Arabidopsis thaliana: one gene and its partners. The protein of the gene in region 2 purifies or fractionates together with the protein of the main gene of each other region. This does not show direct contact. Each region holds a gene or a part of one and is shown on either strand. Other genes may lie near its edges.

Region 1 (5,278 bases), on a different chromosome or scaffold from region 2:
TGGTGTTGAGAGTGGTAGTGATGCTCCTACTTCTTTGATGCCTGGTTTATGCGCCAAGGCTGCAGTTTCGTACAAGGTTAACAGAGACTTGTGGAGGCCACAAGAGAAAGAAGGCAACACAGAAGAAGAGGATAAACCTGTGTTTCTGCCTTATGATTTACGTCTCAAGGAGCCTCATGCAGCAATTTCAGGAATAGTAGGTACTCTCTTTAAAAAACCAATCCCCTAAAGAAGTCTCGTTCCTTTTCTTTTCTTGACCTTGAATTGAATGCTGAGTTCTCTCAATGTTTCACTCTCTAGGAAGCAGCTTGGCAGCTTGGATCACAGGCCGAGGCATGTTGGTTAATGGCAAGAAGCGGAGTCCGATAAGCGCAGATGTATTTGGTTCTGCTTGTTATACGTTCCAAAAAGGACGGTTTAGTAAGTTGTATGGCGATCTTACCCGAGTAGATGCTCGCGTGGACCTACCCTCAGCTTTTGCCCTTGCTAAAAAACTCTTCCATGCAAGTAGTAACAACTCAGACGACACATTGTGGTCTCCCAGACTCAACCTGATATTCCAGCAACAGGTATTAAGCTTTTGTCCAAAGATCAAAAGATGTAAAAGAGTCTATGATGTTTAAGCAATTCCCACTAATCACACTGTTATGCAGGTTGCGGGTCCGATTGTTTTCAAAGTAGACTCGCAGTTTCAGGTAGGAGCTGCACGCATGGAAGATGTGATATACAGTCTGAATTACTCGTTGAGGCTTCTTGAGTCTGGCAAAATCGTGGCTTGGTATTCTCCAAAGAGAAAAGAAGGCATGATCGAGCTCCGAGTTTTTGAGTTTTGATTTTAGTCTCCGTTTATGTTTTAAAAATCGCAACTTTTTTTTTTTGACATGACTATAAAAAACTCTTATGTTTCGTAAAACCTAGTTCATCTTCATTGCTTGTGGCGGTCGATCCCTAGAAATCCACTTGGGAAAGATCTATCCTCACTTCCATCGGCTCTCACACGGAAACTTCCTAAAAATCCAAACTTTCTCATTGTTGACCGTCCGATTTCTCTACGCTACAGAGTCAATAAAATGATCGAGCTTTGTCAGTTAGTCGAGGCTGCTAACATGGAGGCTATGTTGGACCGGAAGAAGGAGAAAGAGAAAACTTGTTTTTTTTTTTGAATATGACTATCTCTGAAAGTGATCTCAATTGATATTAAATTGAAGGATTAACTAGAAACAACAATTGCTGTCTGAAAATTACAGAAAACTTGTAAAATCTTCAAATCTCTCCCTCTTGGACAAGACTTCACTCAACGAGGGCCAACAAGTCACTCTCTTTACAGAAGCAATGCCTAGCATCGGTTCCCAAATCGACCTGAGAAACAAATTCAGAGATGTTCGATTCTATATTCCTTAAAACCACACAAGGACAGGACAACAACTAATCAAATACACTGCAGAGAAGCGGAATTCACCTCATAAGCGCTCACATCAGAGAACAAAACCTGTGAAAGGCAAAGGAGAAAGAGATAAAGACAAGATTCACGGTAGTTACAATGGATAAATAACTATGTCTTTGACTTAAGAAGAAACATTTACCCTCTTTCCAGGTCCAACTTGTTGTCCAACCTCAGAACCAACAGATATAATCTGAAATGATTCTCTATTCTTAATTAAAGATGCTCTAACACAAGTTATATAAAACATATAAGGAGCAAATGACTTACCTCTCCTGTTAGGTATCTCTCAAACTTCACAGCTGCTTTAGGCAACAATACTCCACCTGAGGATTTCTTCAGAATAACAATTTAAGAGCCCATAAGTTTTTGGCAATGGAATTCAATTTAGTGATTCATCAAATTAATAGCTTATTGATAATAATCATGACATTTCAGACAATAAAGGAGCTAAACTGACAATAGGAAGATCTTCAAGACGAACAAGAACTCTGTCTGCCTGAGGAACAACCTGCAATTATCACCTCAACACTAAGATTAATCACCAGTTTTTAAAAACAGAGAAACCAATACATTTTTCGGAAAAGACAGTACCTTTGTCGGTTCCCATTTAGTGGAAATCGCTTTGATTCTAAGACAACCTCTTCGACTTCCTGCATAAACACGAGGAAACAAATTATCAAAAAGACAAACTTTATATCCGAAAAGGAAGAAACATCAAAATAACTTTCAGATAGTTAAGTACCGAGAAGCGTATGGTTAGCCGTCGAAGGAGTAGTTGCTTTGACCGGAAAAGCAAAGAAAGGATTTGGTAGAGAGCAGACGAAAGTGGAAGCCATAGCAGGATAAGGTTTTTTGCAGAAGCAGATCTTCTTCTTCCTCCGTTACGACTTTGGCTCCAGCTTTCTCGTCAGTGCTTCTTATGTTTTACATTGGGCCAATATTACAGCCCATTTAACTATTAAGACCCAATATCTTTATTCTATTAAGCCTAACCGATGTATGTTTTATTGAACCGAGAAATCTCAATTGCACTTTATTGAGAGTCACCGAAGCAGTAATGCAGTATCGTGGGGTATACTGAAAAGTCATATACTACGGAGGGAAAAACTCACGTAGTACTAAAATCAAGTTAACTATTACATGAATCTATCTATATGTCATGTCAGGATCTTCCGGAGCTGCCAAATCCAAGAGTACATAATACCAACGGTACAATATGTTGAGATCAACATTAAAGGCAAAAATGGCAACTTATCACCTAGAAAATACGGATGCAAGAATTGAGACACTATCTCTACTATAATCAAACCCATTAGATAGCTCTTCTCAAAACATCCAATCCTAAACTTGCTCTTGATTTCACTAGTCTCCTTCTTCTGCGCCTTATAATCTGTGTATTGAGCTGCAAAGCCGAGCCACATTACCACGGAATGCAATAACAGCAACAGAACCTTGATCGGGTACTCCTGCGGTTCATATAAGAGTGGATAGAGCGAATAGCAAGAGACTGCAGGAAAAATACAGAGATTAAGTACAAGGAATGAATGATTATGCGTAAAAGTTGATTCTGGTTAGAGAATAGTATATACCTATGGAAACCAGAAAGTAATGTTTAGCATCTTCTAGACTCTGAACTGCAACGATTGCAAGTGGGATGGTAAAGTGAAGCGATGCTTTCTCATGGACGTGCCATCCAAACAGAAAACCGCATGTATATGCATAAGCTACCCATCTAGCAACGAGCCCCGAGTGTGGTTTTTTCCAGGCTTTGATGAGACATGGAGATATAGCTAGTAATACCATTGCAAATGTTGTCAATGGCGTGATCTGTCATTGCACCAGTCCAACAGAATAAGATTGAGTGAAACAATTCATGAGATATGACAGATACTCATGAAGAGTAGTACCTGAGGAAGAACTGCAAAAGGCGAAGAATCTCCAACTAATCCTCCAGTGAAAGATGCGGAAGGAATTTGAATTTCATATCCTAGCTTCCGCAGCAAAACCGCAAGCCCTTTGTCGAGTATTATGTAGAAAACCCAAAAATTAGGTGCCCAGTATGCATGACACAATCCTCTCCCGAAAGGAAACATTCTACTGATGACTTGCTGTATCTGCAACACAACGAGAGAACACGAAAACTACCACCATAAGATGTTTTCTCAATAAATCTATTTAGGACAAGGTTTGACTTGATTGATGTATAGAGATTCACTGATTCGTCTAGGATAATTTCCATTGATAAAAGTAGTGAAATAGCTCTCTAGCACCAAAATTTCTAACAAATTCTAACTCTTTGCCAAATCAAACAACAACAAAAATGATTCACAATCTCCTAAACACATCAACAACATTAGAATCTTCAACTTGAACTCAAAAGAATTTGGCTATATTCTTCAACATTGAATAGGAAAGAACTACACTAACCTGTCCATGATAGATAAAAGGTCCATAGGCAGCAGCAAAAACCGCCACAACCACCGCACCAATAGTTACAAGCCGTCGGAAACCAGTAACTAAACCAGACCAGCAATAATGCCTAAGTAGATAAACAAAGTAAACCGGAGCAGTGACGGCGAACAAATGCTTAAAGCATAGAAGAACTGCGAATAAAAACCCACCCAAAAGATCTCTCCCTTCTTGAAGAAACGAAATCGAAAGCAATAACCAACCCAGTAGAAATCCATTATACTGAAAATGAATGTGATCTACGATCAATAGCCCCGGAGACCAAATCACCAATGCGCAGATCAGATTTCGTTTCAACGGTTCTAATTTTCGAGTCAATCGATAAACACCGTAGAGAAGACATAGATCTGAGACGATTACGCTGATTCGTTGGAAGTAAATTACAGATTCGGCATTGTAATCGAGTCCTGATTGAAGATCTACGATCCTGGGATCGACGAGACGCGCGAAAATTGAGAGGAAGCGTTCGAAGTAGGCGAAGAAAGGAGGATAGTCGAGTGTCCATTGGCTAGTCTCGTCGAAGTACCATTTGGTAAGAGGAAGAGAGTTTGTGATAGCGAGCCAGTTACGGTGGACCTCGAAATCGGTGCTTCTGGACGACGGAATGAGAAGGAGTTTTACGGCGGTGGCTACGGCGAAGAACCATAGCAGTAGTCGCCGGTCACTCTTTTCCCGGTGATCCATCTCGGCACCGATAGACTGGGAACATTAGCGACCGTTGATTTACAAAACCCATTGATATGGGCCTAATTTGGGACACGAACCGGCCCACTTAGTAACTACAGAAGTTTACGTGGAGTTGTAGATATGGCAGTACATAATTGGTTAAAAATATATGACATGGCATTACGTGGAACTGTTCAAATTGGTTTTTATATCGGATTAAACCGGTTTAGCTATGAATATTTCGTTGTGTGTATAAGTCGTACCTACCTATTACAACCGCCCAAAAGGAAAGTAGCTATTGGCTATAGCGTAGAGCTAGACCATTCGAATTAATCAGCGGTTGAGATCATTCTTCAGTAACTAAGGCCACGTGTCATACACGACGACCCTAAAAGATCAAATAGTAACCGTAGACTCAAAACAACAGATTTTAATTCCCATGCAAACCTTAAGACCTTTACCTAACAGCCACGTAGCACGAACTCGGATCTTAGCTGGCGCACGAGCGAGGATCACCGCACGTGTCAACTGCAGGTGAGTTTAAAAAAAAAAGAAAAAAGTAGGGCAAACGGGGTACAAGGGCAGCTGTCGTGGGCCCGGGAGACAAGGACGTTGATAATTGGGCCTTTCAAAAGAGAGGTGATTGTGGGTCCCATTAACTCATTAATCTGAGTCAGCTCGACGCCTTGTTGTATCGAC
Region 2 (9,089 bases):
GCCTAGAGCTTTTGTTTACCATAATTTCTTGGTAATTCTCTTTCACTCCTCCAGTAAACACGCATATATAGCTAGGGAACACATGTTTCTCTCATGATTTATATGCAAATGTTTAGGATTTGATCTTAGGCTCTCTTCTTTAAAATTTGTAAGACAAACGAAGAATGTGATCACTTGATTAGCCTCGCGAAACCTAGTATGGCGAGGTCCAAGGTGCGCAATGCGTTAACTGGACTTGGTGAAGAAAGCAGGTTATGTACTCTATTTTCATTTGATTTTCCCTCTTTAATTAAGTTTAGTTTGGAAAGATTTGAGATTTGGAAATATGTTAATGTGCAGCTCACGGACGAGTTCAGGAACTTTTATTAGAAGTGGACATGACAAAATCGTCAAAGAGATTGAGAAAAGGATTTCAGAATTCACCTTCATTCCTCAAGGTATGTGGCTTCTGTTTTTAAACTGGCCATAGTTTGGATTTTCTTACCAAACAAGGTCTAAGATCATTACATTATTGTGAAGTTTTATGTAATTTATGTGCAGAAAACGGAGAAACGCTTCAAGTTATCAATTATGAAGTTGGGCAGAAATTTGAGCCTCACTTTGACGGATTTCAAAGAATTGCTACGGTTCTTATGTATCTGTATGTAAACCCTTTATAATCTTTCTCATCAGCCATGTAAAAATTTTACAATATTTGCATAAGTTAATCTTGTTTTCTTTTCTCATCGTATGACTAATTAGCTCGGATGTTGATAAAGGCGGCGAAACAGTTTTCCCTGAAGCCAAAGGAATTAAAAGTAAAAAAGGAGTCTCTGTTAGACCGAAGAAGGGAGACGCTTTACTCTTTTGGAGCATGAGACCCGACGGGTCTCGAGACCCTTCGAGTAAGCATGGTAAGAGGCATTGCCTTTCTCTAAACTTGTTTTAAATCGTAATAAACCCTTAATTATAACTTGTTTGAGATCATGAGATGTAAAACAAATTTCTCAAAAATTTGTCTGTTTGATTTAGGTGGGAGTCCAGTAATCAAAGGAACCAAGTGGGCATCAACCAAATGGTTCCGCTCTCATAAGTTCATCAACTCTACACAACATTCCAAGAGGTAATCTCTGACCATCACTTCGAATGTGATAATCAATCCTTTGGATCATCTCAGATTTTTTTTAATGTTTTTGTACAACCTTCACAAGATAATTTTCATCCTCTAGCTCTTTAGATTACTTTGTGTATTTGTGTTTATTTTCTAATGGTAGAGTATACTTCTATCAATGCAGCATTGACAATGCTTATGAACAACAACAACAAAAAAAGAGCTCGCATGTTTATTTGAAAGAAAAAAAATGACTCGACAGTGATAATGTTTCCAATTGACTAGCACGAAGCAAGAGACGAAGAAGAACAAAAGCAAAAGTTTAAATTAAAGTCATTCTCGTCCTCCTCCCTGCAAACATTTTTATTGCAACAAACCTTGGGATATATAACTCAAGTCTCTGGTGTTACCAGATTTATTGTTTGATCAAGTTCCTGATAACGTATTGCAAAATCCCTCCGTGATCGAAATAAGCCAACTCCACCTGTCGATTCCAAATTCCTCTTACTTATCTCATCTCATTTTGTTTTAGAGCTAAAAAAAAAACTCAAAGACGAAAAGACGAAAATATATCATCTAGAGATAACTTACCTCTGTGTCAAATCGGAGTGTACATGTGAAAGATTTGCCATTGTTTGTGACGACTGTTACATCTTGTCCTGGTTTGATCTCACTAACATTGTTTGGGAGCTCAATGGTGTAAAGCTCCTGACCCGTTAGGCCAAGGGTCTCAGCATCTTCTCCCGCCTTGAAGCACAAAGGTATGATTCCCATTCCCACCAAATTGCTTCGGTGAATTCGCTCGAAGCTCTTTGAAATCACAGCTTTCACACCCTGTTGTCACAATTTTTTAAAGAAACCGCATAAAATAAGTGTAAGAACGTGTTTGTTAAATACAGAAAATGTACCAGAAGCATTGGACCCTTGGCAGCCCAATCACGAGAACTTCCACTACCGTATTCAGCACCAGCCAAAATGATTGTGTCGCGTCCCTCGTTCCTATATTTCTGGTACAGCACGAGGAGAGAATAATCTGATTAAAACAAAGCTATGAACTGCTATTCTAATTCCAACTGACCAAATCAGAGAATCAAACAACAAAATTTCCACCCCCAAGACAATCTGCTGAGACATTATTATTACCTCAGCCTTCACTAACTGTTCTATAAACCAACTCACAACAGCTCTAATCTACTACATTCAGTCCTAGGCTAGATACAGTAGACCTATAGCTAAGAGTAGAGCTGTAGTGCTTATTCAAAGCTTATCGTAATCCTACCCCAACCTCATGACCAAAGAGCTTGAATTTGATGTTTTCAAAAGGATAAAAAAAAAAGTGAGATTATACCATGGCAGCATCGAAAACAGAAAGCTTCTCTCCAGTGGGAATGTGAACTGTTTTGGGACCAACTTCTCCTTTCAAGTGTTTGTTGACAATACGGATATTTGCAAAAGTGCCTCTCGCCATAATCTCATCATTACCACGGCGACTCCCGTATGAGTTGAAGTCTCTTCTATCCACACCTCGTTCCATCAAGTACTTAGCCGCAGGACTGTCCTTGTGGATGCTACCAGCTGGTGAGATGTGATCAGTGGTAATACTGTCTCCAAAATTGAGTAAACAGTATGCGTCTTTCACACCATGTGGACCGGGTGGAGACATGGTCATGCCCTTGAAATAAGGCGGCTCGTGAATGTAAGTTGATTTCGGGTCCCACTCATAGAGAGTACCTGACGCCACAGATAACTGATTCCACATGGAATTTCCTTTGGTGATTGCTTCATATGTAGCTTTGAACATATCAGGAAGGACACTAGATTGAACAACCTGAAAAATCGAAACAGAGAATTTGGCATCCCCTCCACTTATAATATCTCATTGTTTACGTATTACACAAGTAGCCCATATATATTTACCTCAGCAACTTCTTTGTTAGAGGGCCAAATGTCCCTGAAAAATATCTGTTTTCCATCTTTCCCAGTTCCAATGGGCTGTGTCTCAAAATCAATGTCAACCTACAAGAATATTCATGTGAATGATTCTGTGCTTCATATAACAAGAATGCTTGAATGTTGTGAAATGGCTTTAGAGTTAGCATTAACATACAGTTCCAGCCAGAGCATAGGCTACAACAAGCGGTGGGGAAGCTAGATAGTTAGCTCTTGTTAACGGGTGAACACGTCCCTCAAAATTTCTGTTCCCAGACAACACAGCGGATGCCACCAAGTCTTGTACATATATGAGAAATCTTTTAGTTTGACCTTCGAAAATTCAAGTGAAGAAGCATTACTTCATTAACTACTTAAGGAATTACCATTATCAACTATTGCTGAAGCCACAGCTTCATGGATATCCCCCGAGTTTCCAATGCATGTGGTGCACCCATAACCAACGATACTGAAGCCGAGCTGATTCAAGTACTTCTGCAAGCCACTGCAAGACTTGAAAACTCAGGACCACACAATACAAAGGATAAGGAAATAAATAACAAAACATTCAACGGTGTATCTGCAGCACCTCTTTGCCAAGTACTTTGTTACAACTCCAGAGCCTGGAGCAAGACTAGTTTTGATCCATGGCTTAACCTAATAATTGAGAAATTTCAAACACTTCTATTATTTCCATTGCACATAAAGATATTAAATCACTATCACACAAGTAGTCAAACCTCCAGTCCTAGGTCGCAGGCCTTTTTTGCAACTAAGGCAGCGCCAAGCATTACACTAGGGTTTGAAGTATTTGTGCAACTGGTGATTGCTGCTATAACAACATCTCCATGTCTAAGCTGTGCTGTGGTCCCGTTAAAATTGAACTCTACAGCCTTACTCTGTGCTTCTTTAGGTACAGCGAAACCCTGGAAAATCATGGATAAGTAGTATCACTAACCACTATTTTTGAAAAAATGGAAGTAGGTTATAAATTCAGAAGTGTTGCAGAACGTACAAGTTAGTTTATTGGACCCGCTTAAAGACTCGAATACGTACCATTCTTTCAAAATTACAGTAACAATAGCTAGAGGTGTCATAATTTCCTACAAATTAAGCTCTCGGGACTGCAAGCATTCACATCTTCTCAACAGAAAGGAGAGTACTAACCTTGAATCCTACTCTATTGTCCAAGCAAGAATGCCAGTCCGCTTTCATTTCCTTCAAAGGAACACGATCATGAGGCCTGTATTGTGCACAGAGAATAGACATTGTAAGTAGAATGGATCCTAGATAATTTTCTGTCGAATCATTCACTAATAGTACCTCTTGGGACCAGAAACACAAGGTTCCACATCCTCGAGATTCAATTCCAGACATGAGGAATAAACTGTCTTACTCTCCGGCTGAGATGTGCAACAAGTTCCAAGTGAAGCATATGTTATGCAAATATGATATATGACAATAGGCATAAGAAATGAAGTATTAAGGATGCCCAAGGTTTACCTCACTGTAATCCACAAACATCTTGTTTGCTCGTAAATACGCCTCTATCATGGAGACCTGCAATCCAATTCACAAATCAATACCATTATGAAAGTCTTTAACACACTAAATAATGAAGATTTTCCCAAATGTGACATTTTGTGCATTTTCTTACAGTGTCATCGCTCCTGCCTGTCAACCTTAGATACTGCAAAGTGACATGATCGACTGGGAAGAATCCCATGGTCGCACCGTACTCAGGAGACATATTGGCAATTGTAGCACGGTCAGCTAAAGACAATTCTCTCATCCCTTCCCCTGTGTATGAAAAAGCAGTCGATGCATATGTGAGCTAGCCTAACTCGGTAAGGTACTATGTAAGTAAATAAGAGACATATATGAAATATGATATCAAATCTTTTATCAACGTACCGTGGAATTCAACAAACTTTCCAACTACTCCATGTTTCCTCAACATCTGAGTCACTGTTAAGACCAAATCAGTAGCTGTCATTCCATCTCTTAACTTTCCCGTTAGCTTGAAACCCACAACACCGGGTAGGACCATGCTCATTGGCTGCATATAAAGAGATGGAAAGTCTATTAGAATTATTGAAAGGATGTAGTTTAGAACCAAAGTTTCAGAAAGAGGTTAGACAGTTAGCTATGAGTTCTCGACCGAAAGAGCATCTGATTTACCTGACCAAGCATGGTAGCTTCCGCTTCTATACCGCCAACTCCCCATCCAGCAACACCCAGTCCATCAATCATAGTGGTGTGAGAGTCTGTGCCAACAACACTGTCTGGGTAAAGAAGTCCATTTGTGTTGAAAACAACTCTGGCAAGGTATTCTAGGTTGACCTGTCAATTGCAAAATTATAGAATTTAGCATAAAAATACTTTAAGTTTCCAAGCAATACCGTTGTCCCTGAATCCTCTACTTACTTGATGAACTATTCCAGATCCAGGAGGTACGACAAGCATGTTGTGAAAGGCGTTGGATCCCCACTTAAGAAAAGCAAATCTTTCCTTGTTACGCTGGAACTCAAGCTCCATGTTTGCCTGCACTGCGTTCTCTGATCTCGCCACATCCACCTGAACGGAGTGATCAATGACAAGATCTACAGGGACCTGCAATTATCAAGGCCTTGTATCAAACCTTATAGCATACCAAAAGAACACAAATCATTAACCAATCTCAGTAAAAAGCGAGGAAACTAACCAGCGGATTAATTTTATTAGAATCACCACCGAGATTATTCATGGCATCTCTCATGCAAGCAAGATCAACAACAGCAGGAACACCAGTAAAGTCCTGAAAAACAAATAGAAAAAATGATATCACATTCTAGCATTTTCAGGAAATCAGAAACATCATTATGTCATCAAGAATGTGTATAGCAACCAATCATTGTCTACCTGAAGAAGAACCCGAGCAGGCTTGAACGGAATCTCAACCTGCTTGGGAGAAGTATTCTCCCAATCAAGAATCTTCTCAACATCTTTGCTCTTAACTTGGAACTCATCACAGTTACGTATGGCCGATTCAAGAAGTATCCTAATGGAATAAGGTAGTTTATCTGCATCCACCACAACATTTCTCTCATAAAACTCTCACCAACGAGATCATAACAACGTCTTCTAACAAAATATTATAATATCTATCAGAGATAAAAGGAAACTCACCGATCCTGGGATCGTTCAAAGCAGGTAAGCTGTAGTAGTTACCGAATTCACCACCATCAGGCTTCTCTAACGCCTTCAATATGCTTCGGAAAGGATTCTCGGAAGCTGAAAACACATCAGAAACAGAGATCCACACAGCAAATCAAAATACAGAACCAGATTTCAAAAAAACGAAAAATAGCTGGAAAATCAGCATCGGCGAGAAGAAGAAATAAGAAACATGAATCATTTTGGATCGTAAACAGATAAATCGATACCCATGGATGATAGATACAAGTCGAGTGAAGAAGCAAAGTAGAGAGATCTGTTTTCAGAAGAGAGAAAGTTTATAAGCGGAGTTGGTGAGGCTACACGAGCCTGAGCCGATTCAGATTTTTTTTATATGTAAGAAGGAAATAAATCTGACAGATCCGTGGTGGGCTCTTTTCGTCAGAACTGATGGCTGTTTGATTTTTATTTTTATTTTATATTCTATTTTCTTAATTATCCAACTTTTTTTTTTTGTGAATATCCATTCTTTGCTTTTTTTTGTATCAAGTGAATTATATCTGTTCAATCATGATTTTATTTTCACAAACTTATAATCCACCAATCTGATATGTGCCTCTTCTCTATAGTATCTAGTTTTATGTAATCCAATTTTCTTCAAGGTTTCTCAATTTCACATGGCATTGATTGATTAAAAAAACCTTAATTTCTGACAAACATATACAATCAATGATCGTCGTTACAACACACCAAAAAAAAATACACACAATGACACAAACATATACAAGACACCAAAAATATTCAATGATCGTCGTTTATTTCACCACCACCTGGTGACAAAACCAAAAAATATCGCCACCAACCTGCATGCAACGATTTAAAAAAAAAAAAAATATATATATATATATATATATATAAAAAACATTTTTTTATTTTGGAAATGGGTCGCTCCGTTCGAAATTTATGTTCTGATTAATTTGGGCCTAGCCCAGTTTAACCCATCTTTGTACCCAGTTCGGTCTAGCCCAGTTTGGTTAGAGATTAAACAATGTCGTTTAGCTGAATGGTGTGTCCAGATGGAAAGCTGCTGAGATGATTAATTATTCTACCCCTCCTTGTTTAGTTTTTCAGGCCATGATTAAAATGTATAATTAAATTTACTCTTAGGAACACTTCAAGTCTCTTAAATTTTATAGTCTGTATTTAAATATTGTCCATCAATATATTACTATCCACCTAAAAATCTACTAACTATTAACCTGAACGTGGTCAGTGTATATATCTGCTTTTAAGAAACCTCACTAGTTTCAGTCCCTTGAATCTGAAGCACCTTTTTATATTTTTAAAAAAGTTAAGAAGATGTACGTATATAGATTACGAATTACATCGTCTTTGTTGATAAATATCGAGAACTATATATGTTTAACGAAATCGTTTTAGATTTGGCGTGGCTCATATTTTTTTTTTATGTAAGGACAATTACATACTATTGTTATCTCTTTCATTTATCGTCTCTTTTTAGTTTGTTTGTTTTTGATAAAGAACTCTCTTTTTTAGTTTGTTTGATCGTATATAAGTTTGTTTATACGATCTTTTAAGCTAATATCAATAAGAAAGAAGTTATAAAAAAAAAAAATTGTTTATTTTAATATGGACGAAAGCTTATAAAGTATCTTATATTTATGGAGTTGATTTGATGATGCTTCCATACAATTACAAATAAATTAAGGAGCAGATGCAAGTGGTGGCCGGGTTAAATTATCAATCACGCCAACACAAAGACGCACCACCGGTAAAAATGTGACTTTGGTCAGCATGTAGATAACCTACCAATCATAATTATATCTTCTTTGTCTATTTGGCTTTTTCTTTTCCTCTCTCTTTATATTATTATACATCCTTATAGGTAAAACATTCTGTTACTTTCACTTACCCATTGTTAATATTTCCCTTAGAAAACACTTAATTCTTTCTCACAAGATGCAAATACGTACTCATAAAATATTATTTAATTTGTATCATGTTCAATAATATCCTCTCTCAAATATAGAATTGTTTGTAAAATGATTAGAGGAGAGTGGTGTGGAGACCAAATTTTAGTCCAAGTACCAGTAATACGAATTTTTCTTTCAAGAGAAAAACTAGTAAAACACGATCGGCCAAGTTCATTACAGTACATAGAGAAACTCACTCTCAGCAGTGAAACTAAACAATACAAGACATGTATGTAAGTGACACGTAACTATATATCATGCAAATGCTTAGATTTCAATTTAATCACTCATGGGACCAGCTTCTGGACCATTAATTGCCCCATAATGTCTATAAATTAAAATACAGGTGAAATATATTGGGGTAGATATATATTTTTTTTTTATCATGTCAACTATCTAAGGTAGATAGATATTTTTAAGAAATACAGTATGTTAAAAAAAATCGTCATAGAGCCTTGTCAAATATATTCAGTAAACATAAATACTATATGTCATTATTTCTGTCCATCTTTTGAAATTTTACATATCAACAATATTATTATTATTATTTTGACTAAATAAAGAAATATGAAAATTTCAAAGTTATATAAATGATCCGATCATGCAAATACTCATTAGATGAGACATACGCTGCAACTAATTATCTCTTGAAATGATTAATTAATCGGCTTACCACTGTAGAGATCGAAAAACACAGAGTCTTGGAATACAATTATACAGAAACGGTAAGGGTAATCATTCAGCTTCTCGCACGTAATAGCACAATAACAAAGTCTCACCGTACCCATTTTAGTTTGGTATAACAATAAAGTATTGCTCATATTAAGGTTCTTACTATAAAAGGAAAGGAAGAATCAAAATAAGATTTTGAGATTTCCTCAAATAGTTAACATGTATAGAAATTATTTCTGTTTCGTATC
Region 3 (8,027 bases), on a different chromosome or scaffold from region 2:
ACAGAGGATGAATACAGATTCCAGAAAAGCAATATTTTGTGTGATCATGAGTAGTGAGGACTACATCGATGCATTCGAGAAACTTCTTAGATTGGATTTGCCAGGAAAACAGGACAGAGAGATCATGAGGGTTCTAGTTGAATGCTGTTTACAGGAGAAAGCATTCAACAAGTTCTACACAGTCCTTGCTTCAAAGTTGTGCGAGCACGACAAAAATCATAAGTTTACACTGCAGGTACGTTTTTACTATCTAATAGAACCGAAGCCATGGTTATGTAACCATTCTTTTTTCTCTTATCATCTCTTGTGTTTTTTTTCCTGCAGTATTGCATTTGGGACCATTTTAAAGAACTAGAGTCGATGTCACTTCAGAGATCGATGCATCTGGCGAAATTCGTGGCAGAGATTATTGTAACCTTCAATCTTTCTCTTGCTGTTCTCAAATCCGTTGACTTAGCAAATCCAGTGGAGTTAACTCCAAAACGAATCATGCACTTTCGAATGCTGTTCGAGGCCATCTTTGAGCACCCTGAGAATCTTGTGTGGAACTTGTTCACACGCATAGCCTTGAATCCGGAATATGAAGCTCTACGAGATGGCATCAAGTTCTTTGTGAAGGAATATGTTGTGAAAAATAACAAGGCAATCTATGGGAAATTCAGGAAAGCTAAAGAAGCACTTAACAATGCAGAAGGATTACTCATGTGATCCTGTTGTTGCCACCAACAATTTTGAAGTCTCTTTTTGTTGTACACACTATCTTCTAATTTAATTAAAGTTTCTACTTTGTAAGATTTTTATCATTCACCATCTTCAATAAAAATTTACTGAAAACGATCTTAAAAGGTTGAGGTTCTTTTACACTAATTGAATTTGGTTTACTAACTAGGTTATTTTCACACAATCTTAGAGAGAAAAATAATATTAAAAACTGCAAATGAGCAAGAACTTTTCTTCGAGACCGAGCTACAATCTTTTTCTTATTTGAACTCAAAGAGACTTGAATTACTGAGATAAAACTTGAGAACATACAACATCTCAGATTTTACAGAGTTAAAACCTTCTACTTGGCTACAGTCTACAGTTCAAATGATACATAAACATCAACGAAGATGTTCTCCAAGCGAAATAAATCTTCGAGTCTAAAGTGGTGGACCATGAGACTGCAACCTAACATCAGCCACCACGCTCTTTGTGGGGCAATTCAGATTTTCTTTTTGCCAACGAAATAAAGAAATCTAAGGGAAACAACAATCTGATACAGGAGCCAGATAGAGACATACAAAGGGGCCTACTTCAAGAACAGGCTACAAAGCACTGATTGCGTCGGATAAAAAAAAGTAGTGAGTTTAGGACAACGCAAACAAAAGTATTTGTATAAGAATCAATCCTCTTATTCCTTTTCAAGATACTTTAGAAAAAAGACATTCCATCAGAGAAATATATTGGAGACAAAAAGAAAATCACAAACATTGCATCAAATCCAAAGGATGCTATAGCCTTTCTCTCTCTCAACAAGAAAGAAACCATATGCATCAAATCTACCTTCGACTAAAAATATTTTTAAGAAAGTTATTAAACCAAATAAAACACAACCATTTTAGAGAAAAAAAAACGTTTCCTTGTTCAAATCAAGCTTTTCTTCACTTGGCACTGGCGAGCTGGGAGCGGATGAGCTTAGCCGCATCAACCATGTTCTTGAGTGCAGGCTTGACCTCGGTGTACTTACGGGTCTTGAGACCACAGTCAGGGTTAACCCAAAGGATGTTCTGCTCTAGGACAGCAAGCATCTTGTTGACCCTGTCTGCGATTTCCTCAGAAGATGGTATTCTTGGAGAGTGGATGTCGTAGACTCCTGGACCGATTCCAGCACCGTACTTCACTCCTTCACGGAACACGGAAAGAAGCTTCTCATCAGACCTGGAGTTCTCAATGGTGATGACATCAGCATCCATGTCGATGATGGAGTGTATGATGTCATTGAAGTGGGAGTAGCACATGTGAGTGTGGATCTGCAAAAAAAAAACACCAGAAACACATAAGTTATGAGCAACTGAGAAAGCATTACACTACATGAGACTCGTTATGTGTAGTTTTTATTTAAGCAAACCTGGGTGCTGTCTTGGACTCCACAGTTGGTGATTCTGAAGGAGTGGACGGCCCAGTCCAAGTAGAAAGCATGCTCGGATTTCCTGAGTGGTAGTCCTTCTCTAAGTGCAGCCTCATCAATCTGAATGACACCGATTCCACCTTTCTCAAGATCCTCGACTTCGTCCTTGATGGCCAAAGCGATCTGGTAACAGGTTTCGTGCCTACAATGATTCCAAGATTGTCTTAGTGTTTTGTTCTTTATTTGGTGTTTATGTTTGTTTTTAGATTATAGTAACATTATGTACCTGGGCTGGTCGTTCCTGACAAAGGACCAGTTGAGAATGGTGACGGGACCAGTAAGCATACCCTTCATTGGGCGAGAGGTCATGCTCTGAGCCATTGCGGACCAGAAGACGGTCATTGCCTTGGGACGGCTCACATCACCATAGATAACTGGTGGCTTCACACAGCGAGATCCATAAGATTGGACCCATCCGTTTGCAGTGAAGGCAAAACCAGACAACTGCTCACCAAAGTACTCAACCATGTCGTTTCTCTACAAAATTGTGAAAACATGTCTCATCAGAAACAGTACCAAGGATTACTAGAAATATCAGGCAAAAACATAGAATAATAAAAAAAATTCACCTCTGGCTCTCCGTGGACAAGAACATCGATGTCAAGTTCCTCTTGGAGGTCAACAACTTTCTTGATCTCTTCCTTGATGGCTTTAACGTAGTCCTCCTCTGAGACCCTAGTAAAAGAGAGATTAAAGAAACCATTAGCATCACAACAATTTAAGAAAATGTGTGACGCATAAGCCCAAGGATTAAATTTAGGAGACTAACTTTTTGGCCTTGTACTCACGACGAACTCTCCTGAGCTCTACAGTCTGTGGGAAGGATCCAATGGTTGTGGTTGGTAGGATTGGGAGATTGAGCTTCTTCTGCTGAGCATCTAGCCTAGCACTAACATTGGTTGCACGACGGTGGTCAGATCCCTTCAAAGCAGCAGCCTGAGATAACAAGAATGAGAAACTATCTCAATCAATACAAGATTAGGAAAATAAACCATTGGGTGAGCACAGTGCATCAGTTTGAAATCAAACTTACAGCCTTCTGGACACCCTCGTTGGTGACTCTTGGGGAAGATCTCCTTGAAGCCAAAGCCGCAGCATTGGCAGAGAAAAGAGCCTGAAAGAAAAAAAATATTGAGTTCTAGATTTTTCTGGATCAATTACACTACAGATAATTCAAGGGTCCACTACTAGGGGAGCATGTGGGTAAAATACCTCGTCCTTCTGACCAGCCAAAGCCTTGGCCAAAGCGTTCACTTCAACGACCTTCTGGGCAGCAAACGCCAACCATGACTTGATTTCATCATCAAGCTTAGTCTCATTGATAAGATCAACAGCGGTGTGGAGAAGAGAGCAGGAGGTTGAGACCACAAGCTTGTCTGCATCAAAAAGACAACAGATCAACATTTCATACAGTTGTTTTTCAATAATTCCCTAGTAATGTCAGGTAAAAGGCAGATGATTTTGGAAGAACAATTACCTTTACCAACAATGCCTTCAAGTGCCTGCAAGGTGCTTAGGGACGCAGCAAAGTCGTTGGCCCAGATGTTCCTTCCATCAACAACACCAGCAAAGAGGTACTTTCCCTCAGGGAAACCTGCCTTGACCAAATCAAGGGTCTTGGTGCCACGAACCAAATCAAATCCAAAGGCAGTCACACCCTTCAATGAGGTTAGGGTCTTGTATGCCTCAGCAGGGATATCAGCGAAGTAGGTCTCGACAAGAACATTCAAACCAGAAAGAGTTGATTCAAGTTCAGCATAGGCACCAGTAAAGGCCTGGAGTTTCTGACCCTCAAGATCCATAACAAGGACAGGCTCGTCAAGCTGAATCCAGGTGGCACCAGCAGCCTTAAGCTCGGTAATCACTTCCCTGTACACAAATCAAAGTCATTATATCAGTGGTATGTCAGAGGATCATTGATAACATCAAGGATACGGATGGCATAATAAAGAAAAACAATAAAGTGATTTCTTACTTGTAGATCGGGAGAATCTTAGGGAGAAGAGAAAGAAGTTCGAATGACTTGTCAACACCCTTGGCAGCCTTGGAAAGCAGCAAGTAAGAGACTGGGCCAACAAGTACAGGGACGGTGTCAACACCAAGCTGCATAAACATCAAGTAAACCAGATCAGAACTTCGTAGAAAAAAAAACTACTTTAGACAACCAGTGCCAGATGACTTTTCTAACGGTTTTTATATTCAATGCATCCGAGACCTTCCTAGCATATTAGCATCCTCAGTGAAACACCACTCAATGAATCTAAGCTTAAACACTATATCCTCAAACTAAAGCCTATGATCTCTAATAGTTAATTAGACGAGCAAACAGTAATTTCCTAAGAAACGGATATTAGTAAAGAATGATACGTACAGCCTTGGCCTCCTTGTACTCATTCACCGCCTTGTGGGATGCGTAAGAGAAGTTAACCTCAGGGCCCAACTCAGGGACGATGTAATGGCTGCATCAACAAAAGCATAATCAAATTAGTCCACAACTCAAAAAGACCAATGTCAACAAAAAGAACACAAGAGATCAATGAAGACTCACTAGTTGGTGTCGAACCACTTGGTCATTTCCATGGCAGGCACAGAGGCATTTCCTCTAGCCATGGAGAAGTAAACATCAAGGCCGATCTCACCACCAGTGTATCCATACCTAGGTGGAACAGCACCGAGCATGGCGGTGGTGTCAAGAACCTGGTCGTAGTGAGCAAAGGTGTTGCTAGGGATGAACTTAGTCCCAGCGGCAGACATCTGTTTCCAGATGGATGACCTGAGATCAGCAGACACCTTCTGAAGATCCTCAGCAGTGCTCTTACCATCCCAGAAAGATTCCAATGCAAACTTGAGCTCTCTCTTAGGGCCCATACGTGGGTATCCAACAATGTGTGAAGCCATTTTGATTTTCTTTTACTGCATTAAAACACACAAACCAAATCAAAATCAAAATCATAGTATAAAATAACGTTCTCTTAATTCATAAACTTCTTAATATTAAATGATTTAATTAACAAACTCCAAGAAAACCGTAAAGCAATCACAATTCACGTGTATAAAAAGTTTGTGCAGCTTTTTGAGTCTACTACTACTACTACCACCACTTGATACTGTAATCGAAAACTTTCAGATAAAAACACATGCGACATTCATCGATCAAAAACTTTAGATCTAAACGAATACGAACACAGAAACACCAATCATTTTCAAAGGAAAGATGACGATAGATCGTAAACAGATCCAGAAACCAGATCTATAAATCGAACAACACGAAATATCCAGATCTGAGTCAAATGAACTCACATAGCGAATAGATCTCAACAAATGAGCAAACAGATCGAGGAATATAAAAAAACGAGAATGAAACGAATCACACTAAAAGCGAAGTAGTAATAATAACGTGGAGAAGGAAGGAAAGGGAGCTAAATAAGAGAGACGTAAGGAAGACATAGAAAGTCGGAGACGAACCTGACGGAGGAAGAATCGGAGAGGAGGAAGGAAAAAGGGTAGGCTAAGAGAAGGCGAAAGAGAGAGCGAGGAAGAAGAGTGGGCTGTGTGAGTTTATTTATAGCGAAAATAAACGAGATACATCATCGTTGGGCTCTGTGTCATTTCTGTAGATCTGGTGGTGCTCGATATTTTCGCAATTTTATTTATTATTTTAAATATCCCTATTTATTTATATTATTGGTGTATGTGCATTTTCTCTGAATTTGATGTTATTTTTCAACACACTTGAGTGTAGGATTATTTCTTTTTTGTCTATTGTTTGAGTTCAGTATTTTTTTCTTATATTCGTAGAAATAAGTATGTGTGCATTAGTAGAGCTAACAAGTAAGAAATATAATTAAAGTATCATATTGGTAAATTAAAAAAAAAAACTGAATTAATATTGCCATCTTTTATAGGAAAATTAAATTACCAGATGCCCCATAAGTAATTTTTTTAAGGAATTTTTGTTGGGTATGTATTTTTAGCTTGAATTTTGTTTTTTTTTTTAATTTATGAATGAGATCTTGATTAATTGACGAAAATATCTGAACAGAAAGGTTTTTCAAAAAAAATATTGGAGATTAGAAATGAATAATTAATGGTTAGTATTACTAAGGTTGAAATCATTTAATTAACTTATAATAAAAGTATATTAAGAGATTAAAACGTGAAGGGGAGTTGGTGTACGTGGGGAGATTAGTGGGTGGCAATGGGACCCATTGAGGTTGGTGGAGATTCACAATTTGATTATTTCCACAGTAAGGTTTTCTTCTATTATTGATACGACGCCGTTTCAAGTGTCAGCACGAAAGAGTATCAAAATCAAGGCCTGTTCCATAGCGTTTTGGAAACAAATCGAATTATTTACAGGGAACAATACTCCAAATTTCAGTGATACAACTCTTTCAGTTAAATATAGAAAGTCGAATAGTTGTCAAATCTATATGTATATATAGAAAGTTGAATATCTGGTAACACAATTTTACTTGAACAAGTAACAATCTTGTCTGGCCATTAGTACACTTGTGTAAGTCAGATAAAAACTATGTATGTTTTTGGTAAATAGAGTAGGTAAAGAAACATAAATTATGGACCTACTGTATATAATATAATATTATTGTTTAAGATTCATAAGACAATGAGTATACGCGATGGATTAATGGTCTTAATCTTTTTTTGTTTGCTGGTAATTTGGCTACCAAACTTTGATTCTTGACCTTTATCAACGAACCTCATTGTTTTAATTTCCTAGGTCATTTTTTCTTTCCTAACCTTAAATGTAACTTTTGGTTTGCGTAAATCATGAAAGAATATTTTTTTGTAAACATATTTTAAGTTTTATTTTGTTCTTTCAGTCTGCATTAAAAAATTTCACGTACTAGTTACCAATTTCAAAATATTTGTTTTTTTTTAACTCTATAGCAACTGAGGAAGTTTAACCATATCGTGCATAAACTACGTTATAAGCTCTTTTGCGGAATTTAACATGAATTTTCTAAGTTTGGAATATAAAATTATATTCAACCACTTCCACAACTAGTTTTGGAGTATCTTTCTATTTGTATGGAACTGGTGTAGGTCAATTTTGAGTTCACTAGGAATTTATCAAGAAGATGCTATTGCAAACAACACCAAAAAGTCAACAAAATGTTTATGTGATAAACAAAAAATTAGTACTATATGTATGTTTGATGATTTTATTACTTGGTAACTTTAACTATACATCAAACTGGTAATCACACAACAAACAAATTGAACAACATTTAATTACATGAGACTTTAAATCTGCAGGACAGTTGCATATGCTTCCTCGACACTGGTTTGTCGGTGGATGTAGATCTAGTATGTACACAAATAAAGATAATCACACAAGCATTTATTGAAAGTGAAACTCGCACTCTATTTTTTTCTTTCTATTTACTTGTTGTACGACATAAAGAATTGAATACTTTAACAATCCAAATGAAAAACAAACAAAAAAACTTTTCTTTAGGAATTATTGAACTAAATCGTATGTGTATTAGTATAACAAATTATTGGATCAATAAAATACTTGTTTACCAACCTTTTTTGGCATCTTGAGTTTGGTAATCATATGATACACGAATCACAAGATCCAAAAGTATTCTTATTGCTGGCTTATAAAACTTTATGATTAAACTATGGAAAGGCATGCTTTTAGACATGTGAAACAATAAAAACTGTATACACACACATTATGCTTTGAATCAAAAGTTGGTGATTTATATGAATATACTTGGATACTTTATTTACATAAAATCTCAAACACAAGTTCATCTTTTACCAAAAAAAAAAAGAGAGGCAATGCTTCATGTTAATAAGAGATTTACAACTAAATATGAACCAC
Region 4 (7,631 bases), on a different chromosome or scaffold from region 2:
AAGTCCATATCTCTCTCTCCAGACACCTAACTGGTTTGCTTTACATCGTTATGACACGTGGTGACATGTGCGACACGTCAGACGTTGACAAGGTCATACACAGTCATCATATGTCTGAAACTTCTCTGTTTTTTTTTTGTAGCCTTTCAATAATTTTGTGAATTTCTGTGGCATCATCAGTTTTTCAAGAATTTATTGTGGATTAATTCTATTTTTTTTAATTAGAGGGAATGAAAATTTGAGGGACAAAATGGTAAAAGAAGTTAAACAGATGCTTAATCAAATGCATAATGTGTAAAAAAAAAAAAAAAATGCATAATGTGACGCGTCAGCTCTCGTGACATAAATCGGACTACGTGGATATCTTTGATTGGATGTTATGCCTTTTCTTTGCCAGCCAAATGTCCACGTCACGGAGCGGTGAAAGAATGTTAAGTTTAAGCAAATTTTTACTTTTACAGGGTTTTTTTTTTTGGGTTCACTTTTGCAGTGTTATTGTGTAACTTGCGTTCGGTGATAAAGTTTATAAATTTCTGGAAAAGAAATTCCACATAAAATGAAATACCGCACTTTTGGTACTTTGAAAAGAAATGCTTACACCATGCAAAAGAAATGGTTAACAAGACATGAAAATATAGTACTACTTTTGGTTCTCTGGTATACCACGTCAAGTGATCTTTACATGCACGAATCGAGCATTCCAAAGGTTCGAAACTGTGTCCTTTTTCATGGTATCAAATCAAATCTTTTTGTAGTATGGTGGATGATCTTATAACAATAATGGATTATTTTCAGCAAATTCTTTAGTTCTACAACACTAGTAGTGATTTTAAGATTTCACATTTTGGGGGCTTGTATAACAAATTAATTCGTATCCACACTTTCAAGAGATCAAAGAAGCATATATTTCATTAGAGAAAACAAAGATACATATAACATTGCAACAAGAGAAACATATAGTATAAAGCCGTAAACTCTCTTCAACGAAAGCGAGAGAGTGTGACTCCATTCCCTCAAAACCTAACTTTGGCTAAAATATTTTTCTTGGAAGAAAAGTTATTGAAACTGAACAAACACAAACCACGTAGAAAAATCCCGGAATATAGAAATAATATCTTCAAGCTCTTCACTTGGCACTACCGAGCTGGGAGCGGATAAGCTTAGCCGCGTCAACCATGGCTTTAAGTGCTGGTTTAACCTCAGTGTACTTCCTTGTCTTCAGACCACAGTCAGGGTTAACCCACAAGATGTTCTGCTCAAGAACCGCAAGCATCTTGTTGATCCTGTCTGCAATTTCATCTGTGGATGGTATTCTCGGAGAGTGAATGTCGTAAACACCAGGACCGATTCCTGCACCGTACTTCACTCCTTCACGGAACACTGAGAGAAGCTTCTCGTCTGAACGAGAGTTCTCAATGGTGATGACATCAGCGTCCATGTCAATGATTGAGTGGATGATGTCGTTGAAGTTTGAGTAACACATGTGAGTGTGAATCTAGAAGATAAAATAAAGAAGTTAGTTGCAGAAACATTCATCACTATTTGAGATTTTAAGTGTACAGTGTTGTTACCTGAGTGCTGTCTTGGACGCCACAGTTGGTGATTCTGAAAGAGTGAACAGCCCAGTCCAAGTAGAAAGAGTGTTCGGCTTTCCTAAGAGGCAATCCTTCTCTAAGTGCGGCTTCATCGATCTGAATGACTCCAATACCGCCTTTCTCGAGGTCTTCCACTTCATCTTTGATGGCCAAAGCGATCTGGTAACAGGTTTCGTGCCTGGGCTGGTCGTTTCTGACAAAAGACCAGTTGAGAATTGTGACTGGACCTGTAAGCATACCCTTCATTGGACGTTTGGTCATGCTCTGAGCTGTTGAGGACCAGAAGACTGTCATTGGCTTGGGGCGGCTCACGTCACCATAGATAACTGGTGGCTTCACACAGCGAGATCCATAGGATTGCACCCATCCGTTTGCTGTGAATGCGAAACCTGACAATTGCTCTCCAAAGTACTCAACCATGTCGTTTCTCTATAATATTGTCAAAGCATGGCTGAGTCAGAAACAGGACGTTGTAATTAGTTTTAGGGTCTAGTAAGAGACAAAGACTGACCTCAGGCTCTCCGTGAACAAGAACATCAATGTCAAGGTCCTCTTGGATGTCAACAACTTTCTTGATCTCTTCCTTGATGGCCTTGACGTAATCCTCTTCAGAGATTCTAGTAGAAGAAAGAGTTCCAGTTAGCATCACAATCAACTTACTAAACATGCTTAAATGATCAATGCAAAAAAATTATGATTAAGAGACTAACTTCTTGGCCTTGTATTCACGGCGAACTCTCCTGAGTTCCACGGTCTGTGGGAAGGATCCAATGGTTGTGGTTGGGAGGATTGGAAGGTTAAGCTTCTTCTGCTGAGCATCTAGCCTTGCGCTAACTTCAGTTGTACGGCGGTGGTCAGATCCCTTCAAAGCAGCAGCCTGAGATTGCAGGAATTACAAATCATTAGGATCAATAGAAACATATATCATACAGAGAAAACCATCATAATAGTAAAGAAAGCTTGAGTATGAAAGCAAGAACTTACAGCCTTCTGGACAGACTCATTGGTGACTCTTGGGGAAGACCTCCTCGAAGACAATGCGTCAGCGTTGGCAGTGAAGAAACTCTGAAAGAGAGAAATATTAGAGACTTGAAGTCTTTTTCAAACAAAGGGTTCACTTGGGAAACATGTTTGTAGGATTTTTACAATACCTCATTTGTCTGACCGGCCAAAGCCTTGGCCAATGCGTCAACTTCAACAACCTTCTGGGCAGCAAAAGCTAGCCACGACTTGATTTCAGCATCAAGCTTAGTCTCGTTAATAAGGTCAACGGCAGTGTGGAGAAGAGAGCAAGAGGTTGAGACCACAAGCTTGTCTGCACCAATTCACAAATAACAAAACCAACGAGTTAGAGAAAGATAACAAATTAAACACTTCTAATTGAGTAATCCACATAAGAGATTCTGGAAGAATATAATACCTTTACCAACAACACCCTCAAGTGACTGCAAGGTGATGAGAGAGGCAGCGAGGTCATTGGCCCAGATGTTCCTTCCGTCAACAACACCAGCAAAGAGGTACTTGCCCTGTGGGAAACCTGACTTGATCAAGTCAATGGTCTTGGTGCCACGAACCAAATCAAATCCGAAGGCAGTCACACCCTTCAAGGAAGTAAGGGTCTTGTATGCTTCAGCAGGGATATCAGCGAAGTAGGTCTCCACAAGAACATTCAGACCAGAGAGAGTTGATTCAAGCTCAGCATAGGCACCGCTAAAAGCCTGGAGTTTGTGACCCTCGAGATCCATGACAAAGAGAGGCTCATCAAGCTGAATCCAGGAGGCACCAGCTGCCTTAAGCTCTGCAATGACTTCCCTGAGAAAAGATTCACCATTCCAATAGTATGTCAGAAACAAATTTCCTAGCGTCAAAGAGAATAATTGAGTACTAGAGCAAAAGTAATCTCTTACTTGTAAACTGGGAGGATTTTGGGGAGAAGGGAGAGAAGATCAAATGACTTGTCAACACCCTTAGCAAGCTTGGAAAGAAGCAAGTAAGAGACAGGGCCAACAAGTACAGGGACGGTCTCAACACCAAGCTGCATTAACAACACCACATTACTATATTAGAACATTCAATACCAGACCAAAAGAAGCCTATATATGTTCAAATAGGAAAATTAGTTGAGTACGTACAGCCTTGGCCTCCTTGTACTCATTGACAGCCTTGTGAGATGCGTAAGAAAATTTCACTTCAGGGCCCAACTCTGGGACGATGTAATGGCTGCATCAAACAGAAACATTAAAAAAATACGTTAATAACACAACTCACAAATCCAATAACAATGTCAACACACAAGTTAAAGAGTAGAGAAGAAACTCACTAGTTGGTGTCAAACCACTTGGTCATCTCCATAGCTGGAACAGAGGCATTTCCTCTAGCCATGGAGAAGTAAACATCGAGACCGATCTCACCACTGGTAAATCCATATCTAGATGGAACAGCACCAAGCATGGCGGTGGTGTCAAGCACCTGGTCATAATGAGAAAAGGTGTTGCTTGGGATATACTTAATCCCAGCAGCAGACATCTGTTTCCAGATATCAGACCTGAGATCAGCAGACACCTTCTGCAAATCATCGGCACTGCTCTTGCCATCCCAGAAAGACTCCAATGCAAACTTGAGCTCTCTCTTAGGTCCCATACGTGGATATCCAACAATGTGGGAAGCCATTTTTGTTTGTTTTTTGTTTTTTTACTACATTTGAACCACAAACAAAACCAAAATCAGTCAGTAAACCAAACACAATCCTAAAATGTACTTCTTGTCATATGGTAAAAGCCACCAATCGTTAAAAAAGTAAAAAACTTTTGCAGTTTTTTTTGTCGTATTTATTGAAAACAGAGTATGAGAGAGTTTAAAGATCAAAACGAATCACAACTAGGGAAAACAGAGATCTAACGCAGAGAAAGATCGCAAAACAGAGATTTTACGAATCTGATCGTATAAAAAATCCAGATCTGTGTTTCATAGAATTTCACTCACCGGATTAAGATCTAAGTATTAACGAACGAAGAAGAAACGGAATCAAACGAAAATTGAATTGAGAAGAAAACGAAGAGACGGAAGGTAAATAAGAGAGTGGGAAGGGAGAGAGCAAGAATAGTCATGCGGAAGCCATGGAAACTCGGAAGCGTACCTTACGGAATGAGAAGAGTGGAGATGAGAGATGGGCAAAGAGAGCGACGATGGAGAGTGTTCTGTGTTAAGCTTATTTATAGCAAATCAATTACACATCGTTCCTTGGTTTCTCTCACTCACTCGTGGTGGCTGATTATTTTTCTATTTAAATTAATAATACGTACATGTACATCAAAATACGTATATTTAGGTTTTTACCCTCTCTACAACATTATACTATATGATAAATAAAAATACGTGTAATCCATGTATCCAGAATGATACTAATTTTTATCTTTCAAATTTAAGGGCACGGTCAATTATATACAACTTTCGAGAATTATACGTATAACGACGGTTTACATAATAAAAAAATGTATTTGATCATGGCATGACATTACAATTATATAAGCTGGTAGAACTTAATTCCGTTGAATTAGTACTAGTTTACTGGTAATTTTAGTTGACTTTTGTCAAGTCCTCACTGGCTAGTTAAAGCTTAAAACAATTGTTTAAGGGTTAATTAAGGGGTTAGTGTATGTTGTATTGTAAAGCGTAGTATTAATTAAGATATAAGAGCTTAAGAGGGGATTAATTATGGAATTGAAAATGTGAAGGTGGGGAGGAGAGTTGGTGTGTGTTGTTTGTGAAGAGTATACATGAGGAGAAGGAGGTAGCGGGATTGGTGGGTGGAGCCCATTAGGGAGTTGGTGAGATATTCACTTTTAATTTCATTTTTGGGAGTCAGTACCAACAATTCTTGCCACACAAATTTGGAGATTTGTTTGGTAAACAAAGTTGGTGAATGATTATGAGATCCTCCACGTCCCTCTTATGGTTTGATCTTCACATAATTTTTTTTATTCAACAATGACGTTTGAAACCTATTAACCATAAGTTGTCATAATATTCACCTTAATGAGGAATATACGTCTATAATGTATGTAAAGAAGTCTAGTATGAAATGGTAAACTAGTTCAGTAAAGAATATTCAATGCTCTGTTTGGACGACTAATACGAAAATTCTATGTTTCGAATAAAGAAGTGTATTTCTACCATCTCTTGTAACTTGTTTTGTAGCAAGAACTCTTTTTTTTAATGCTTTCACATGAGAAAGTCCGTTCTTTTGTTTTTCGACTCAAAAAACTTTAATCCATCAAGACGCTTAACAAGTAACTTCAAATTTCAAAACAAAACACAGAAATATTTGTATCCGGTAAATTTTATATTTCCTCACAATATCCAACATCGGTCTATTCCGAAGCATTAGTAGATCAGTAGATGCCTTGCTATGGTTTTGTCGGCTGTCGGTGGGATATAGATATAAAAACGCACGACCATTTAATGAGACATTTTTTTTTTCTTATTTCTCGCTAATGCCTAATGTATCATGCGTATTCGGTATTCCCAAAGTAAAAGAATTTGACAAAATGTTCCGACTAATATATACTTGTGCGTCTTGAAATATCGCATTACACATTACATACCTAATTTACTTTCAATTTTTTTTGTAAGAAAGTTAAATGAATAAACACGTTTACATATCATCAATCCTACAGAATATACTATAAGTTTTAACGGCGAGATCACATGCAAGAGACGATAAAGTTTCCATACTTTGAAAAGAGAATATGATATTCAATATATAAGGAAACTAAAAGAATTCATATATCCATAGATTGATATCTCTTATCATAAGGAAAATAAAAAATTCATAGACGATATACTGATATCCATAGATCGAAATTTTTTACTAATTAAGGAAAATAAAAAATTCATAGATTGATATCTCTTATCATCATATATCCATATTTCCAAAATATAATAAAAGAAGAAACTTTTCTTCACCACCCAAAACCTCCCAAATTTTTTGTTTTCCTAAGGTTTCTCAAGAGCAGGAACAAATAACAAAACATATCTAATCTAGATCGATGGAATCATCTTCCAATCACATGGTATGCGTAAACGCATAATAGATTGTAAGATTTGTGTATATATTTTATGTTTATTTGAAAGTGTGTATAAATCTTATGTTTTTAAGCGCAGATATGTCTTTTGAAGATAGAATCTCCTACGCCGGGATGGAAGAAATCCTTGGAAAAATTACTCAAGACAATTAATGGTTTCTTAATCTATCACTTTTCTCGTTTAATTATCTTAATTTTATCATTTCATTTCTTACTTTGTCTTCACTTCTTTTTCTGAATGCATAATGTTTTTCTTTTGTATTTATACATACATAATTTTCAAGATTTAACTTATGTGTATCGTTTGCACTTACAAAACCCAATTATTTAAAACAATTGTTGTGTATCATCTCCGGAATATAACCATGACCATCGAATTAATCTTTCGGATAGTTTTGTGTAGTCTAGAGATGATAGTACTATAAACATGTTTCCGTTTCAATCTCTTCGCTTTATCGAACAAATCGTTATTGTAGCCAGTTTGTTAATATTGGACTCTTTTTAATATGAAATGCAAGAATATATTTTCATAATTCTTCCCTTCTCTTTTGTTTGTTTACAGATGTGAGTTTCATGATCGACAAGCAAAGCAAAACAGTATATCTATCGGGAAAAGTCGACCCACAAATAATACTTGAAAAGATTACAAAAGCAGGCAAAAAAGCGGTTATATTATGGAGCAATAACGGACAGAGTAAGCAGCCGGAAAATCGGAAAGACCATTTGATGGAACAACGTTATGCGTCGGGACACATAAATGTTCCTGATGGTTTCTCAAACTATCATCCGCCATACATGAATGGTCCTAATGGTTTCTCAAACTATCATCTGCCGGATTATTGGATGAATCAACCTCAACTATACAATCCCACTATATGTCCCCCACCACCACCACCGTATCCACGTCAGGTCCATCCGCAGCCACCAGCACCACCACCGTACAAATTCCATC

What was found.
Region 1: the proteins of ACO1 (region 2) and CHL-CPN10 fractionate together in Arabidopsis thaliana (co-fractionation; one large-scale study listed by BioGRID). This does not show direct contact.
Region 3: the proteins of ACO1 (region 2) and ATMS1 fractionate together in Arabidopsis thaliana (co-fractionation; one large-scale study listed by BioGRID). This does not show direct contact.
Region 4: the proteins of ACO1 (region 2) and MS2 fractionate together in Arabidopsis thaliana (co-fractionation; one large-scale study listed by BioGRID). This does not show direct contact.

What each region holds. Positions count from the first base shown.
Region 1 is NC_003071.7:18,418,231-18,423,508, forward strand, and holds CHL-CPN10 (chloroplast chaperonin 10), read right to left. Parts: upstream 2,602-5,278; 5' UTR 2,281-2,601; coding exon 2,187-2,280; intron 2,095-2,186; coding exon 2,036-2,094; intron 1,953-2,035; coding exon 1,902-1,952; intron 1,778-1,901; coding exon 1,712-1,777; intron 1,635-1,711; coding exon 1,584-1,634; intron 1,490-1,583; coding exon 1,460-1,489; intron 1,360-1,459; coding exon 1,291-1,359; 3' UTR 1,140-1,290; downstream 1-1,139. Other genes in the region: AT2G44640 (TRIGALACTOSYLDIACYLGLYCEROL-like protein), read left to right, coding at 1-200, 301-569, 654-833; AT2G44660 (ALG6, ALG8 glycosyltransferase family), read right to left, coding at 2,602-2,951, 3,034-3,271, 3,352-3,558, 3,872-4,597. UniProt on the Arabidopsis thaliana protein: Functions as a co-chaperone for protein folding in chloroplasts.
Region 2 is NC_003075.7:16,971,502-16,980,590, forward strand, and holds ACO1 (aconitase 1), read right to left. Parts: upstream 6,661-9,089; 5' UTR 6,449-6,660; coding exon 6,445-6,448; exon of another isoform or gene 6,293-6,444; coding exon 6,188-6,292; intron 6,082-6,187; coding exon 5,921-6,081; intron 5,817-5,920; coding exon 5,724-5,816; intron 5,633-5,723; coding exon 5,447-5,632; intron 5,363-5,446; coding exon 5,201-5,362; intron 5,079-5,200; coding exon 4,934-5,078; intron 4,820-4,933; coding exon 4,677-4,819; intron 4,580-4,676; coding exon 4,523-4,579; intron 4,423-4,522; coding exon 4,343-4,422; intron 4,263-4,342; coding exon 4,187-4,262; intron 3,946-4,186; coding exon 3,760-3,945; intron 3,677-3,759; coding exon 3,609-3,676; intron 3,525-3,608; coding exon 3,406-3,524; intron 3,320-3,405; coding exon 3,198-3,319; intron 3,107-3,197; coding exon 3,008-3,106; intron 2,919-3,007; coding exon 2,439-2,918; intron 2,098-2,438; coding exon 1,999-2,097; intron 1,925-1,998; coding exon 1,682-1,924; intron 1,575-1,681; and 3 more. Other genes in the region: AT4G35820 (2-oxoglutarate (2OG) and Fe(II)-dependent oxygenase superfamily protein), read left to right, coding at 1-31, 130-251, 340-437, 541-640, 742-928. UniProt on the Arabidopsis thaliana protein: Catalyzes the isomerization of citrate to isocitrate via cis-aconitate. Contributes to oxidative stress tolerance. May have a role in respiration.
Region 3 is NC_003076.8:5,932,812-5,940,838, reverse strand, and holds ATMS1 (Cobalamin-independent synthase family protein), read right to left. Parts: upstream 5,802-8,027; 5' UTR 5,636-5,801; exon of another isoform or gene 5,471-5,635; intron 5,084-5,470; 5' UTR 5,069-5,083; coding exon 4,719-5,068; intron 4,630-4,718; coding exon 4,542-4,629; intron 4,274-4,541; coding exon 4,146-4,273; intron 4,040-4,145; coding exon 3,648-4,039; intron 3,547-3,647; coding exon 3,383-3,546; intron 3,285-3,382; coding exon 3,204-3,284; intron 3,107-3,203; coding exon 2,940-3,106; intron 2,846-2,939; coding exon 2,740-2,845; intron 2,648-2,739; coding exon 2,397-2,647; intron 2,313-2,396; coding exon 2,111-2,312; intron 2,013-2,110; coding exon 1,644-2,012; 3' UTR 974-1,643; downstream 1-973. Other genes in the region: AT5G17930 (MIF4G domain-containing protein / MA3 domain-containing protein), read left to right, coding at 1-235, 325-708.
Region 4 is NC_003074.8:954,236-961,866, reverse strand, and holds MS2 (methionine synthase 2), read right to left. Parts: upstream 5,006-7,631; 5' UTR 4,732-5,005; exon of another isoform or gene 4,578-4,731; intron 4,290-4,577; 5' UTR 4,266-4,289; coding exon 3,916-4,265; intron 3,816-3,915; coding exon 3,728-3,815; intron 3,631-3,727; coding exon 3,503-3,630; intron 3,408-3,502; coding exon 3,016-3,407; intron 2,911-3,015; coding exon 2,747-2,910; intron 2,661-2,746; coding exon 2,580-2,660; intron 2,473-2,579; coding exon 2,306-2,472; intron 2,213-2,305; coding exon 2,107-2,212; intron 2,025-2,106; coding exon 1,572-2,024; intron 1,496-1,571; coding exon 1,127-1,495; 3' UTR 835-1,126; downstream 1-834. Other genes in the region: AT3G03776 (hydroxyproline-rich glycoprotein family protein), read left to right, coding at 6,644-6,667, 6,759-6,834, 7,242-7,631. UniProt on the Arabidopsis thaliana protein: Catalyzes the transfer of a methyl group from 5-methyltetrahydrofolate to homocysteine resulting in methionine formation.